Neurospora crassa OR74A: one gene and its partner. The protein of the gene in region 1 purifies or fractionates together with the protein of each later gene. This does not show direct contact. Links are inferred from orthologs where the notes say so. Each region holds a gene or a part of one and is shown in the gene's direction. Other genes may lie near its edges. The genes, in order: NCU02717 and NCU00396.

The links.
Region 2: the proteins of NCU02717 (region 1) and NCU00396 purify together in Saccharomyces cerevisiae (affinity purification with mass spectrometry, with the first as the bait; 4 studies listed by BioGRID). This does not show direct contact. The link is inferred for Neurospora crassa OR74A from reciprocal best matches to the Saccharomyces cerevisiae genes CLF1 and RSE1.

What each region holds. Positions count from the first base shown.
Region 1 is NC_026501.1:3,298,002-3,306,055, forward strand, and holds NCU02717 (pre-mRNA-splicing factor clf-1), read left to right. Parts: upstream 1-3,266; 5' UTR 3,267-3,365; coding exon 3,366-3,684; intron 3,685-3,761; coding exon 3,762-5,530; 3' UTR 5,531-5,734; downstream 5,735-8,054. Other genes in the region: NCU02716 (pre-mRNA splicing factor), read right to left, coding at 782-2,269, 2,372-2,719; NCU02718 (hypothetical protein), read right to left, coding at 7,095-8,054. UniProt on the Saccharomyces cerevisiae protein: Involved in pre-mRNA splicing and cell cycle progression. Required for the spliceosome assembly by promoting the functional integration of the U4/U6.U5 tri-snRNP particle into the U1-, U2-dependent pre-spliceosome.
Region 2 is NC_026503.1:3,709,976-3,716,825, forward strand, and holds the end of NCU00396 (pre-mRNA-splicing factor rse-1), read left to right. Parts: coding exon 1-1,315; intron 1,316-1,500; coding exon 1,501-2,782; intron 2,783-2,852; coding exon 2,853-2,879; 3' UTR 2,880-3,265; downstream 3,266-6,850. Other genes in the region: NCU16683 (hypothetical protein), read right to left, coding at 3,266-4,108, 4,272-4,400; NCU00397 (hypothetical protein), read left to right, coding at 6,352-6,357, 6,426-6,522, 6,583-6,707, 6,766-6,850. UniProt on the Saccharomyces cerevisiae protein: Involved in G2/M transition. Required for pre-mRNA splicing and endoplasmic reticulum (ER) to Golgi secretion pathway. U2 snRNPs associated protein required for the pre-spliceosome assembly.

The sequences.
Region 1 (8,054 bases):
GTTGACGGTCATACTGGCAGACAGGTATGTCGTGACACAACCGGTCTGGACTTGGCCTGCAGCTAAAGACAACAGACGAACGGACAAGCAGCGGCCCAACTGTTCTTTGTGTAAGGGCCGGTACTTCTGCGTGTCTTCTATGTTGTTTGTCTTCAAAAGGCATGCCCGGTGAGTGTCAGACGTACGCACACCCTTTAAACATGGCCATGCCGAAGGAAACCAAACCGTATACCTAAATTATTCGAGCCGTCTGTCTTCAGGATCTCGGTATGCCGAACTGAAGCAGAAGGATATCATCGATGTTCTGATTAGAAACACACATGAGATTTCGTAAGATCTACGGATTCCTACGTTATAGGTTCACTAACAGTCGTAGTGCATGGGACTGGTAAACTCATTCCCTCTCCTATGAATTGGTTTAGGTTAACAGTGGAACATCAACACGATAAGAGGATGCATGTACAGCAACATAACATCAACCAAAGTACAGGAGAAAAGCCTTTGTCGCAAATGGAATGTGATCACTTCCCTGAGTTTTTTCCCCCTAGCAGCATGACCCTCAAAAAATTGCCGAGTCCATGATATGATTATGATCTAGAATGACATGAGTTGTGCAAACTTTAGCTTAGCCGGTATTAGCTCGGATACTTCTCCCTTCAGAGTATCCAACTGACCAGGGACACACCGAGCCATCCCAACGGGATTGAGGTTAGGGGACCACGCTTGGTCACCGGCGTACGCTTTCATCGACCGGCTCGTCCACCGTCTCCATGTACAGGTGTCACTTCGTCGCTCCCGTATCTTGTCTCTTGCTGGGGGGCAATGCAGGCTTCTTGAATTCACCGGCGCCACCCGAGTTGCCAACTTGGGTGAATGTGCCGCCCTTAAACCAGCGGTCCTCGTCTGCTTTGCGCTTCCTGCTAAGCTCGTATTGCACCTTTGGATCAACGAGCTCTAAGCCTTGCATAGGCGTAAACGCCAACGACGATACCGTTCCGGCGGTGGCGCTGCCCACCGTGGTACCAACGCCTGACGTCCGCAAGCCCTTGCTGGCAGCCAGATTGATGTTGCCAATGCCGCTGCCACCGCCAGCAAGCCCTCTGAGAGATGATGCGGCGCCGCCATTGAGCGAGCTGGCGCCACCCCAGCCCTTGCTCTTTGCACTCAACTTGGCACGCGTGCGCTGGTCGATTTGCGTGACCCGTAGACGTCCATCGTCACGCTGGCCGATCATGCCCATGCCAGCGGTAGCGTCGCCCGTGCCATAACCGACTTCCTTCTCCTCTTTGCCAAAGGCCATACGGTTCTGAGCCTTGCGCAATTCCGTCATGGCCGTGGCCTCCTTGGCTTTACGAGCGCGTCGGCCACCACGCTTTCTACTCGGCTTGTCGTCGGGTGCCGGGAGAGCGCGTGCGCCCTTGCTGTTTGGCTTTTGCTGCAACTTATCTAGGCGGTCTAGACATTCGTCCTTCAGTCGTTCGCCTTCTGACCCATCCCTGAACTGGTGAAAGCAGTCGGTGCGCGCGCACATGACAATCTTGTTTGCAAACATTTTCATAGCCTGTTTCTTGAGGTCGGTTGGAATCCCACGAATGATGTCTGACTGATAGATGAAGCCCTGCTGTCTGATGCCGACATTGGTGGCAAGAGCAGAACTTGTCTGTTTCTTAGAGCCCCAAGCCGGGAGGTTGCAAGCCGGGGTTTTGGAAAGGCCAGTCAGGCCGCCGGCTTGGTTAAGAAGCTGTGCTGCTGTGAGGGAACCGATGAGAGCCGTCAAGTTTGGCGCAAAGATGTTCATGCGAGACTGTACGTACTCAGTGAGGGTCTTCTTAGCCTTATCAAGATCGACCACCATCAAGCACGCTTCTGTGACGCGCTGGATCTCATTCTCGCCCAGAAATTGACCCTTGGAAACCGTGGCTTCCACCGTGACAATCATCAAGGTTGGTCCGTCAAGAACTGACTTGAGGGTTAACCCCAGAGGGTTATCGGTGGAAAGCTGCAACGCTTTCATGCTCTCCGAGTCCATTGGGGAGTTGCCCAAGATGGCAACAACCTTGCAGTATTCGATTGGGTTCGGTAATAGCGACTCGAGTGCAGCAAATCTGGCGGAGAAGTGATCCCTCACAAACTTGTGGACAAGGGCCACCTCACTGTCTATCAGAGTAGACAGTCTGTTGGCGTTGGTCAAGAGGTTGTATTCCGGGTGATCTTCGACATGGCCGACGTCGTTGGCCTGAGCGGGTTGTGCTTGATAGTGTGCGATTTTCTGCAACGTTCGATCCAGACTGTCAGGGCTATTGCTCAAATAAGATGTAAACGCTTTTCCATGTTCAAAGGGAGCACCGCAAACGGGTATAAGGGAACTAACCTCGAGTACTGGCTTCAATGACTTCATAAGAGTCGCAACAGTTCGAACATCTCGCACTCCTCCCAGATGCATCTTCTCAACCTTGGCTTTTGCTTCCTCGGGATCTTCTACAGCATTCGAGTCGTCGGCGCCGACGCCACCCATAGCTTCGTCTTCGTCCTCGCCCTCCTCGTCGCCCATGCCTTCATCTTGATCCTCATCATTGATCGGTACATGTGCGTCGTCCACGCCGGAGCCTCCAGTCGTGTCAACGCCATCGCCTAGAAGACCATCGCCATACTCCTCGCCACCGGCCTCGGAGCCAGAGTCCTCAAAGTCCTGGAGGAGCTCGTCGAGAGTAGACGACATGTTGGCAAAACCCTGTTTCCTGGGCAGAATATTCGGCGACTGTTCGGGTCTCAAGGTGGTTAGATTCAGGAGTAAACGGGACAGTCGCTGATACAGGTACAACAGCTGCCGTGTGCCGAAGAAAGAATGGAAAAGAGTTCGATGTGTTGTCGACTTGTTTTGGTTTTGGGAAGAATGGAGGCAAGAGACCGCGGCGTTGCATCACGGCCTAGCGTACTGTACTGACCTCGTTGCGCCAGTGCTTTGCCTGCCGGTCGTACACAGTGCGGCTTGGTATGTCGCCGATAGCTGCCAGTGCAGTGAGTAGATAGTGTCAAGTAGGCGTAGTTCGCAGCCACACCCAATACAGCGGCCTTCCAGCGGCTCAGCGTCGTCTTATGGGCGAACCTGCTCGCTGAGGTCGGACATGTACTACCTATCAGATGTACAATGACATGATGAGCGAAAAGTGTCCATACCCACTGTGCAGCAAGGTTCAGTAAGTAGGCAGGGGCATCGAGCCACGGTCCATCAATCGCAGCGCGTCCTCAACTGAGTTCAGTGGCTGGCTGCTGTTGCGTCCAGACCCCAAAATCTCATTGAGAAACCGAACTTACAACACCACGCCAACATCTGCAGATCGCCACTTTTTACGCCCATCTTCACAATGGAGTCATCGCGCGGCCCGCCACGGGTGAAGAATAAAGCCCCTGCGCCTGTACAGATCTCGGCCGAGCAGCTGCTGCGCGAGGCCGTCGACCGCCAGGAAGTCAACCTCCAGACCCCGACACAGCGCTTTGCCGACCTCGAGGAGCTCAAGGAATACCAAGGTCGTAAGCGCAAGGAGTTTGAGGACTACGTGCGGCGTAACCGAGTTCGTCTATCGAACTGGCTCCAGTATGCTCAATGGGAGCTAGAACAGAAGGAGTTTGCGCGGGCTCGCTCTGTGTTCGAGCGCGCTCTGGATGTACATCCCAACAATACTCGTATGTTTGTCTAAACTCAAAGTGTCCATGTGCTGTTAAATGTGGCGCACATCAGTCGCTAACGATATGTCCAACAGAACTCTGGATCCGATACGTTCAAGCAGAGATCAAGAACCGTAACATCAACCATGCACGCAATCTGTTGGACCGCGCTGTCACGCGGCTGCCCAGAGTCACATCTCTCTGGTACCAGTATCTCTACGTTATGGAGATGCTCGGCGACATTCCGGGTACCAGACAAGTCTTCGACCGGTGGATGAAGTGGCAGCCAGATGAGCAGGCGTGGAGTGCTTATATCCGTCTAGAGAAACGTTACGGCGAGTTCGACAGGGCAAGGGAGATCTTCAGGGCCTTTACCGCCGTCCATCCGGAACCGAGGACGTGGCTCAAGTGGGCCAAGTTTGAAGAGGAATACGGGACCAGCGACACGGTCCGCGAGGTCTTCCAGACAGCTATCCAGACAATTGCCGAAACGCTAGGCGACGATGCCGTTGACGAGAGGATATTCATCGCCTTCGCCCGGTACGAGGCCCGTCTGCGTGAGTATGAGCGGGCCCGTGCCATCTACAAGTTTGGCCTCGACAACTTGCCTCGGTCCAAGTCGATGACGCTACATGCCCACTACACCACATTTGAAAAGCAGTTTGGCGACAAGGAGGGTGTGGAGGACGTCATTCTTACAAAGAGGAGGAGATTGTACGAGGAGCAAGTCAAGGAGAACGCAAAGAACTACGACGTCTGGTTTGACTTTGCGCGACTCGAGGAGAGCGGAGGAGATGTCGATCGGACCAGAGAAGTCTACGAGCGAGCCATTGCTCAAGTACCGCCAACCCAAGAGAAGCGACACTGGAGGCGGTACATTTTCCTCTTCCTCTTTTACGCGATATGGGAGGAGAGGGAAACAAAGGATATCGGGCGAGCCCGTCAGATCTACGACACCTGTCTGAACCTGATCCCCCACAAGAAGTTCACTTTTGCCAAAGTGTGGGTTGCCAAGGCGCACTTCGAGATCCGACAGGGCCAACTAACGACGGCCCGCAAAACCCTCGGCCGCGCCATCGGCATGTGCCCCAAAGACAAGATCTTCAAGGAGTACATCCTCCTCGAGCAGAAGCTCTACGAGTTCGAGCGCTGCCGCACCCTCTACGAAAAGCATGTCATGTACAACCCGGCCAACTGCCAAACATGGATCAAGTGGGCCGAGCTGGAACGTGGTCTCGACGATCTCGAGCGCACCCGCGCCATCTTCGAGCTCGCTGTCTCGCAGCCGATCCTGGACATGCCCGAGGTGGTATGGAAGGCGTACATCGATTTCGAGGAAGAAGAGGGCGAGTACGAGCGGACGCGTGCCCTGTACGAGCGCCTGCTCGAGAAGGCCGATCACCCCAAGGTCTGGATCAGTTACGCCCAGTTCGAGATCAACATACCCGACGAGGCCGAGGAGGAGGAAGAAACGGAGGAGGAGGTGGAAGAGAAGCCTGTTAGCGAAGAGGCCAAGGCACGTGCTCGCAAGATCTTTGAGAGGGCGCACAAGAGCATGAAGGAGCGCGAGCTCAAGGCCGAGCGTGTGTCGCTGCTCAACGCGTGGTTGGCGTTTGAGAAGACGCATGGGTCGGCGGAGGATATCGAAAAGATTCAGAAACAAATGCCTAGGAAGACCAAGAAGAAGCGTAAGCTGGAGGATGATACTTGGGAGGAATATGTCGATTATATCTTCCCGGCTGATGATCAGCAGACCAAGAACTTGTCGAGTCTGTTGGCCATGGCGAATGCTTGGAAACAGCAGGCCGCGGGGGGTGCTGGTGGCGCTGCTGTCGATGAAGCGGCTCAGGGAGGGAGCAGCTAGTGTAGGAGATGCAATGTTATATTAGGCCGCAGACCAAGAAGCCCATAAACTTTTCCCCCCGAATACAGTAACCGATATGGTGCGGATCTTTACTCCCACACATATATACCTCTTGAGTTGTTCTCGGTATTAAAGATCACATAAAAAGCCCAAACCACGATAGAAACCCCATACTTTGATGAAAGGTGTGAATTATATTTTAACCAACTGCTTGGTAGGTTGTTCCATATCCCGTACGATTAAATACGGCTTTGTACATGTTGGGATACTCTGAGGATATCAGGTCTTCCTCGGCCGTCGAATCTCATGGTGGTCTTGACGTCGATTTCCAGCACATTGTATTCGTGGGTCCAAAAAGTATCGTTTATCTCCATGAAAGAAACTGACTACCGGCCTTCTCTTTATACATATATCGTGAGAATTCGCAAAGAGGCATACATTGTTTATCATTGTCATTCTCTCAACCTCTCGGAATTGATCTGTTTCTTCATCATCCTCATAAAACCCAACCTGTTGACCATCATTATCATCATCATCATGAAAAGGAAAGAATAGGTAGAAAAAAGTAGAAAGAGAGCGAAAACATGTCGTTGTAGCTGCCGCCCAGCAGAAGGTGTAAGAAAGTTGGAGTAAGGAGTACAGAGAGTGGGCAAGGGAGGAACAAGCTATGCATAGATGCCGAAAGATAGGAAGTGTAAGGATGTAGGGGCCGACATAACCGCATGTTGTATCCTTTGGCAGCCAGGCCAACCAACCACACGCCAAGTCTCGTGAGATCCAAACATCCATGTGTGTGACTTGCGAGCCAACCAGAACAGCTCAGACAGCCAGCGTGCGGCGCGTTTCCGTTCCGGTACCGGCCGTTTCGGCACCGACCAACAACCGTTTTCCCATCAATCATTTCGCTGTTGCAGACTTGCAGTGGTTTGAGTGCGCGTCATTCCTCACAGTTCCTGTTTGTCGAGGTTCAACATGCGTGCCCGTTCAGTCGTACAACGCAAAAAAACCTGCTTGCAACCCCTGCCAAGGATCGCCACATTTCCCTGGATTTCGGGGTCCTCCTGTCTTTTTCGGTTCAATCGGTTCAGATAGTGGAGACTATGTTTAGCGACGGTGATCTGTTTGCGCAGAAAGCGGGAGAACAATTAGTCAACTGGTTAAACAACTGCATTTGATAACTTTTCGTGTATGTGATGAAAAAGGAAGAAAAAGGTCATGTTCATCGTAACCAAAGCATATCAGGAGGCGCAACAGCAACTGTAATAAGCGATGAGGCATCGCAGTTTGGAAGATTTCCCCTTGCGCATGTGTCCAACCAAGCAGAAGGAGGGGCTGGGCTCTAACGGTCAAGGTGTTCGTCAGACCAGCATGAGCTCAAGCAAGGCACACGCTCCCTCGCTCAGCTCAAGTTGAGCAAACGCCCAGTAGTGACCAGCTCTCTTGTTGTTTCTTGAGGCACCGCGTAGGATTGGGGATGCAAGAATGCAGATTGAATGTCGGGTCAAATTAGAGAGCACGGGTGACAGACGACGATAAAGCGGGCAATGGCAAACCTGCCCATAACTCATCTCCTGCCAGGACTGCTGCCCGATGGAGGAGATGGATTGCGAGGCATGGCACCGTATGGATTCCCATCAGTATAATAGGGACCATCCTCCAGGCGGGTCGCCTTGGGCGGCGCTGAAGAAGACCAGTTGTCAGCCCTGCGTCTGCCGAAGTCGACAATGTCGCCACGGCCGTCCCCGTCAAAGTCATTTGCCTGGTTTGCCGTTGCCCGCAGTCTTTCGAGCCGTCTCTGATGCCTTTCCTCTTTCTTCTTCTTCCACTCATGCGTCTCGTGCGTCACCTCACGAGCCTCCTTCATCTCCGAGATGGCGCCCTTGATGCCCAGGGCCGCGATGCCGACCGATGCGGCATCTTGCAGCATGGCTCTCTGCTTGAGCTTCTTGGCTTCTTCCGGACTCAATTCCCCTTCCCTCACTGCCTTCTTACGTACGCTGTGCTTCTCCACGCTTTGGTAGATGTTGTGGGCAGCGTGGATGGTCGCCACAGCTGCCAATCCTGTAGTAATCATTTGCTTACCTCTCATTTTCTTGGTTCTCTTCCTGTCATCGTCCGAATCTCCCAGGTCGGATGAGGAGACTGATCCACGCGAAGCATCGCGTCTCCTTGCCACAGTTCCTCCTCCCCTTGAGCGACTACGGCTGCGGCCGCTTCTGGAGCGCTCATCGTCTGAGTAGTCTCGGTGTCGACGCCCGCTTCGAGAAGAGTCGGCATAGTCATCGTAATGTCTGCGGTCGTGGCGGTCGCGCTCATAGTCGTCTGGCCCGTTTCCGATGCCTAGCTTGGCAAGGCCCTTGCGCGCCGAGTCGACGACGCTGCGGCTACGGCTGCGATGACGTCTATCGCGCGAGCCGTCGCGGCTGTCATATGAATCAGTGCTCCGGCGTCGGGACCTGGATCGGCTGTTGAGCTTGTTTGCAGCGTAGGTGCCGAGACCGGCAGTCGCGATAGCGGCGAGTCC
Region 2 (6,850 bases), on another chromosome or scaffold:
AGGTCAAGCGCCTCAAGATCAAGTACTTCGACACGATACCAGTAGCCACTAGTCTTTGCATCCTGAAGAGCGGCTTCCTGTTCGCCGCTAGCGAGTTTGGAAACCATCACTTTTACCAATTTGAAAAGCTCGGAGACGATGACGAGGAGCTCGAGTTCAGCAGCGACGACTTCCCGACAGACCCTACCGCCTCATATAACCCGGTGTACTTCCACCCCAGGCCACTTGAAAATCTGGTCCTGGTTGAGAGCATTGATTCGATGAACCCTCAGGTCGACTGCAAGGTTGCGAATCTGACGGGAGAGGACGCGCCCCAGATCTACTCTGTCTGTGGAAATGGGGCGCGGAGTACTTTCCGCATGTTGAAGCACGGACTCGAAGTGTCTGAAATTGTCGCTTCGGAGCTTCCGGGTACACCTTCTGCTGTATGGACGACTAAGTTGACCAAGTACGATCAGTACGATGCTTATATTGTGCTGTCATTCACAAATGGAACATTGGTTCTCAGCATTGGTGAGACGGTAGAAGAGGTCAGCGATAGTGGTTTCTTGACTACGGCGCCCACCCTAGCTGTGCAGCAAATGGGTGAGGATGGCTTGATACAAGTTCACCCCAAGGGCATTCGCCACATCGTCCAAGGTCGTGTCAATGAATGGCCTGCACCTCAGCATCGCTCGATTGTTGCTGCCACGGCAAATGAGAATCAGGTTGTCATCGCCTTGAGCTCTGGCGAAATCGTCTACTTCGAAATGGACTCGGATGGTTCGCTCGCCGAGTATGACGAAAAGAAGGAGATGTCGGGTACCGTCACATCGCTGAGCGTCGGTCAAGTACCGGAGGGCCTGAAGCGAAGCTCTTTCCTAGCTGTAGGATGCGATGATTGCACAGTTCGCATTCTTAGCTTGGACCCTGATTCAACACTCGAGATGAAGTCCATCCAAGCTTTAACAGCCGCGCCCTCGGCTTTATCAATCATGTCGATGGAGGACTCGTTTGGTGGATCCACGCTCTATCTCCACATCGGATTGCATTCGGGCGTTTACCTCCGGACTGTGCTGGATGAAGTGACGGGCGAACTGACAGACACTCGTCAAAAATTCTTGGGTCCCAAGCCTACCAGACTTTTCCAAGTATCAGTTCAGGATCAGCCATGTGTTCTTGCGCTGAGCTCGAGGCCATGGTTAGGCTACACCGACCCACTTACTAAGGGCTTCATGATGACGCCCCTAAGTTACACCGAGCTTGAGTATGGTTGGAACTTCAGTAGCGAACAGTGCTTGGAAGGCATGGTTGGTATTCATGCCAACTACCTAAGGTCAGTTTATTCCAAATTGTTTGGCGTCCAGTTATGTGATGAGGAAAGTGAACTCTATGCCCTTGGGTAATGAGGCGATTGGAGCAATCATATGTGATTGTACCAATTGTTCCTTACAAATACAACCCGATACACCCATCCATTTTGCACGTCCTTATCTTCACAGACACTGACATTGAGTGCAGAATCTTTTCAATCGAAAAACTGGGCGACAACATGATTCAGAAATCCATTCCTTTGACTTACACACCTAAGCACTTGGTCAAGCATCCCGAACAGCCATACTTTTACACTATCGAATCCGACAATAACACCCTCCCCCCGGAGCTGCGGGCAAAGCTTCTGGAGCAACAAAGCAATGGCGACGCAACGGTACTGCCGCCAGAGGACTTTGGATATCCCAGAGCCAAAGGTAGATGGGCATCGTGCATCAGCATTATCGACCCTATCAGTGAGGAACCGAGAGTCCTCCAAAGGATTGATCTTGACAACAATGAGGCGGCAGTCAGCGCGGCCATTGTACCTTTTGCCAGTCAAGAGGGCGAAAGTTTCCTGGTTGTCGGCACGGGCAAAGATATGGTCCTCGACCCACGTCAATTTACCGAGGGCTACATCCATGTTTACAGATTCCATGAAGACGGCCGGGACCTGGAGTTCATTCATAAGACCCGAGTAGAAGAGCCGCCTTTGGCACTCATTCCGTTCCAAGGACGTCTGCTTGCTGGCGTCGGCAAGACACTCCGTATCTACGACCTCGGTTTGAAGCAACTGCTCCGAAAAGCTCAAGCAGATGTGACGCCCACTCTCATCGTCTCCCTACAAAGCCAGGGTAACCGCATCATTGTCGGCGATCTCCAGCAAGGCATCACGTACGTTGTCTACAAGGCCGAGGGCAATAGACTCATTCCCTTTGCTGACGACACCTTGAACCGCTGGACAACCTGCACCACCATGGTCGACTACGAATCCGTTGCCGGCGGCGACAAGTTCGGCAACATATACATCGTCCGTTGCCCAGAGCGCGTCAGCCAGGAAACTGACGAGCCTGGATCAGAGATCCACCTGATGCACGCCCGCAACTACCTTCATGGCACACCCAACCGCTTGAGCCTCCAGGTCCACTTCTACACTCAGGACTTGCCGACCAGCATATGCAAGACCAGCCTAGTTGTCGGTGGTCAGGACGTGCTGCTCTGGAGCGGCTTGCAGGGCACTGTCGGTGTTTTCATTCCCTTTGTCAGCCGTGAGGATGTCGACTTCTTCCAGAATCTGGAGAATCATATGCGCGCTGAAGACCCGCCGCTTGCCGGCCGTGATCATTTGATCTACCGGGGTTACTATACCCCCGTCAAGGGTGTGATCGATGGTGACTTGTGCGAGAGGTTTAGCTTGCTGCCGAATGATAAGAAGCAGATGATTGCGGGAGAACTTGATCGCTCGGTGAGGGAAATCGAGCGCAAGATTTCGGTATGTGTTCCCTCAAACCCCCTTGAATTTCGAGAAACAATTCACTTACTAACCTGCTTGCTTTGTCTAGGATATCCGCACCCGGTCTGCCTTCTAAACTTGAGTACATCGTTTCTGGGTGAGAAGTAATGGCTGCGAGCTTATGGTTTAATGTATATGAAACTCCTTGCAAAGAAGCGCGTCGTTTTCACAGACATCTGGGATGGATCAAAGCCTTGTTGTAATGTTAACTTGGATTACTGCTGTTGATTCAGCTAGGCGCTCCGGTGGTGGTAAGTGGTTTAGGCGTCAATTGTATGTACGCCGTTGTGCTTAGATTTAACGATGGAAAGAAGAGACAGATTGGTACGTGGCTAAACAAAAAGAAAAGAAGAGCCATATTGCTTGGCAATATACAAAATTTTGGGTACACAAAGCATGGCATCATAACTGCTTACGATCCAGTCTTCCTGGCTTTCAAGTCCCGATCCCCGGCTTGACTACCTATTTGCCAAACTTCGACGCAGTACTAGAAGCAGTGGGAACCAACCTCTTCACCCCACTAATCCACGTCCTTCCCATAACCCTCCCTTTCCCCTTCGTAGGCGGTGGTTGGTTTAGGGCCTCCCACATCTCATCGTCCTCCAACGCCTTTACTGCGCTTTCCACATTCCAATCATTTCCCTCCAGATACAATACCGCAACATCATAGTCTGCCACTTTGGCTTTCATCATCCACTTCCTTATCTTCTTCTTCCGTTCCACCTCCTCGTCGCTTTCTACAGGGTAGGGAGAAAGCGATACGCCGGATGGGTTGTATTCTCCCGGGATACTGATGGTGCGTCTACCGCGGGCGAATAGAAGTGCGGAAGAACTGGAGTGGAAAGGGGAGGAAGAGGTGGAGAGAGAGAAGAGCGGGAGACGGTTATGCGCGAGGAGGACAGGAAGGGGAATCGAGTAGCGGAGGGAGAGGGAGGGGAGGGTGTCGTGGGGTGTGAGGTGGTGAATTGTGTCTGGGATGGTGGTGTTTGGGTTGTCTTGTGGAGGTTTGGGCTCTTGCTGGGTTGATGCTGTGGCTGTGAGAGAGATGGTTGAAGAATAAGGGGGCGGTGAGGAGGATGGGGGAGGAAGATGATTGTTGTAGGAGATAGGGCCGGGGTATGGTGGTGGTGGTGGTGTATCTTTGTCGTCGTTGGCGGCTTGTGTATTTTCAGCTCGGTAATGGTGAGAAGGAGGGCGATATTTGGGACCGCGGGGGTTTATGGGAGTAAGGTATGAAGAGGAAGATGATGATGATGATGATGGGGTTTGGCAGTAAGGACAGTAACTGCTAAAACGGGGGTTGTTCTGCTCTAGTGTTAGTAGACTGTCTATCGCGCCTATGAACAAAACATAGAAATGAAAGGTTGGCCATCAAGGTGCCTTTTTTTTGCGTCGCTTCGCAGAGTAGGTATGGCGGCGTGATGTAGCGGTCAAGTTTCAGCCTGACTGACGGCTTGGTGATACTTACATATATACAGTTACCGCAGATTACTCGGCCGCAACAGCTCAATCGCCGATCGTCCGGGAGAGGCTTCTCGGTCTCATGGACGAAGCGGGGCACCAAGTGTAAAAGCTTTGCGCAGGTACAGCAGGCCATGGTTGAAAGTCAGTTGTCTGCGGAACGAACCTCTATCTTGTCTTTTTTTGGGGGCAAGGTGAGAAACTGGAAAAGGAGAATGTCCAGATTCAAAGATCTGGTCATGTTCGACTTGAAGGGTTGACAAATCTTCAATACGGGAACAGAGATGATTGACGTCGGTAATGTGGGGGCAAAGTGACTTATCGATAGGTAGCCGGAGGGTAACCCCGCAGCCCCGCAAGTGTTCGTGGGGGCAGACCCGACGGAGGAGCTGTCAGCGGCTCTCCACAGCGCTGTCAGGGACCTGGTCTCGTTTTTGACAAAGGAAATTGTTGAGGGAACCCGGTTGACTTGCCAAACCTAATGGAATGGTAAGAATAAGCCGAAATACGTCACAGCCAGTACATCAGACCTTGGGTAGGTAAACCAATTAGGTATACATCTAAGCATCTTTACTACCTCTTGGTATACCTTTGAACCTGAGTTTGAGTCACCCCCTGGAACAGAACTCGAGCTATTGTACCTTCGTATATCATAATTCCCATTCAATAGAGATTTGTAGCGGCCTTTCCTAGCTCCAACCACGATGAGCGGTATCGGACCGTCTCTGTTCGGTTTATTCGTACCCAAGTTGTTCTTGAGGGGCATCGTGCAACATTCTCCGCTTCCGAGCATCATCACCTCTTGAATAAGCGGAAAACAGGAGTAATTGGGCAAAACTCGCCGATTTCTTCGACATCAAGCGCCCTGTCTGAGGCAAAATCTATGAAGCCACGGATTTTGAAGCTGACGAATCTTGGTTGACCAAAGCTTAATCAACCACCTGCCAGATCCTATCATCTTTTGACGATGCAGATGTCGTTTTATTCTCCTGAAGGGCAGCTTTGCCTTAGTTAGCTGTCATCAACTACCCTCAGTTTTCCATTTTCCTCTCTGACGCAATGTGAATCATGACCTGTCTTCTAACCAGCCAGACGGCACAGCACAACTAGCCCGGATCACCATCAACATTGTTTTCGCTTCTGCGCCCTGAATGGAGACTCTATGGCGTGATACCGCTGGAACAACACGTCGCCAATGCGACCGATATGACTGACCTTTGCGCAGCAGAGATGTCAAGCTAATTACAAAGCCCCATGAACCGCACTCTGAACTATATGACGGGATGTAAGCCCTTCGGTTCCAGAAGGGCCATGACCGTGGGGTGATTCCAATTTAGCGTCGCTTCTAGGGCCACGAAAAGAACAACTCTTCAATGATACCGAGAGGAAAACAGGACCGGACGGGCGGTAAGCTAATGTACATAATGTGTCGAGCCCTATACTAAGTAGATTTAGAGGATAACAAAGCGAAGTAGCATCGGCGAGACCGCTGTTGATTCCAAAGGAGTGTCTGGTTCACCCATTGCCCTTGCTTTTCATGTTACTCTAAGGAGACTGGGAGAGGAGGCAGCAAAGAGGAGCAAACAGAAAATAAGAGCTGAACCAAGTATCAAGGCTGGGCCCATTCTCCACGCCTGATCAGTCGTTCACTTGGAGCAAAAGTTCTCCAGATCCTGGAAATCACTGTGACTCGTTGTGGGGTACCAAGCAAGGTATGGCACGCGACCGTACATACATGGGTATAGTGTCAATGGGACGCAACATGAAGATACCCTATGTACTGCGTACCTACTCTAGAAGACGCTGCGGTAGAAGTGGGGTTGGGTTCCGAGTCTACGGGATAGATGGGTCTCGATTCCACTTGCTCCCCTGGCTGATGATTGTAAGAACCCGGCCCAGGGCTGTGTTCCCGGTTATGTAACGGGCGGAGTTTGGGGTCTGGATAGATATTTATGTTAAGAGCACTCGTCTCGAGTTTTTGTCAAAGTCAGCTGAAGCTTGGTCACTCCGTTTGAATACCGCGGTCCTTCGCATTTTTGACTTTTTGCACACCACTCTCAAAGATCTACAAGTCAACTTTGTATATCATGGCGGTGAGATTGCCCGTGTATAAACCGAGAAAGAGATTGAGTCATTACGATTTTAACAGACGATGTAAAAGGTCTCATACCCCCAAATCGTGCTCTTTGGCGATTCCCTGTTTCAGGGTGCCGCAAGTCTTGAGGATGGTTTCTGTTTCCAAGCCGCCGTTCAACAGCGTACGTGTTCTGTCGGCTGCTCACAAGTCTCGTATAGTGAGCTTACTGACTCACCTCCAGAGGTTCTTCGCCGATTTGACATTGTTAACCGTGGTCTCTCCGGTTACAACACCTCCAATGCCCTGAAGCTCTTGCCCCAGATCTTCTCTCCGCCGGGTCCAGGCGTGCCCAAGCTTGCCTACCTTGTAAGTCTAAACTCTTTCGTTTTACAGAAACCCAACTTTGTCTAACCAAGGGCACAAGTTCGTCCTTTTGGGTGCAAACGACGCCGCCCTTCCCCAGCCTGTCAATAACCAGCACGTCCCTCTAGACAAGTACAAGCAGAACC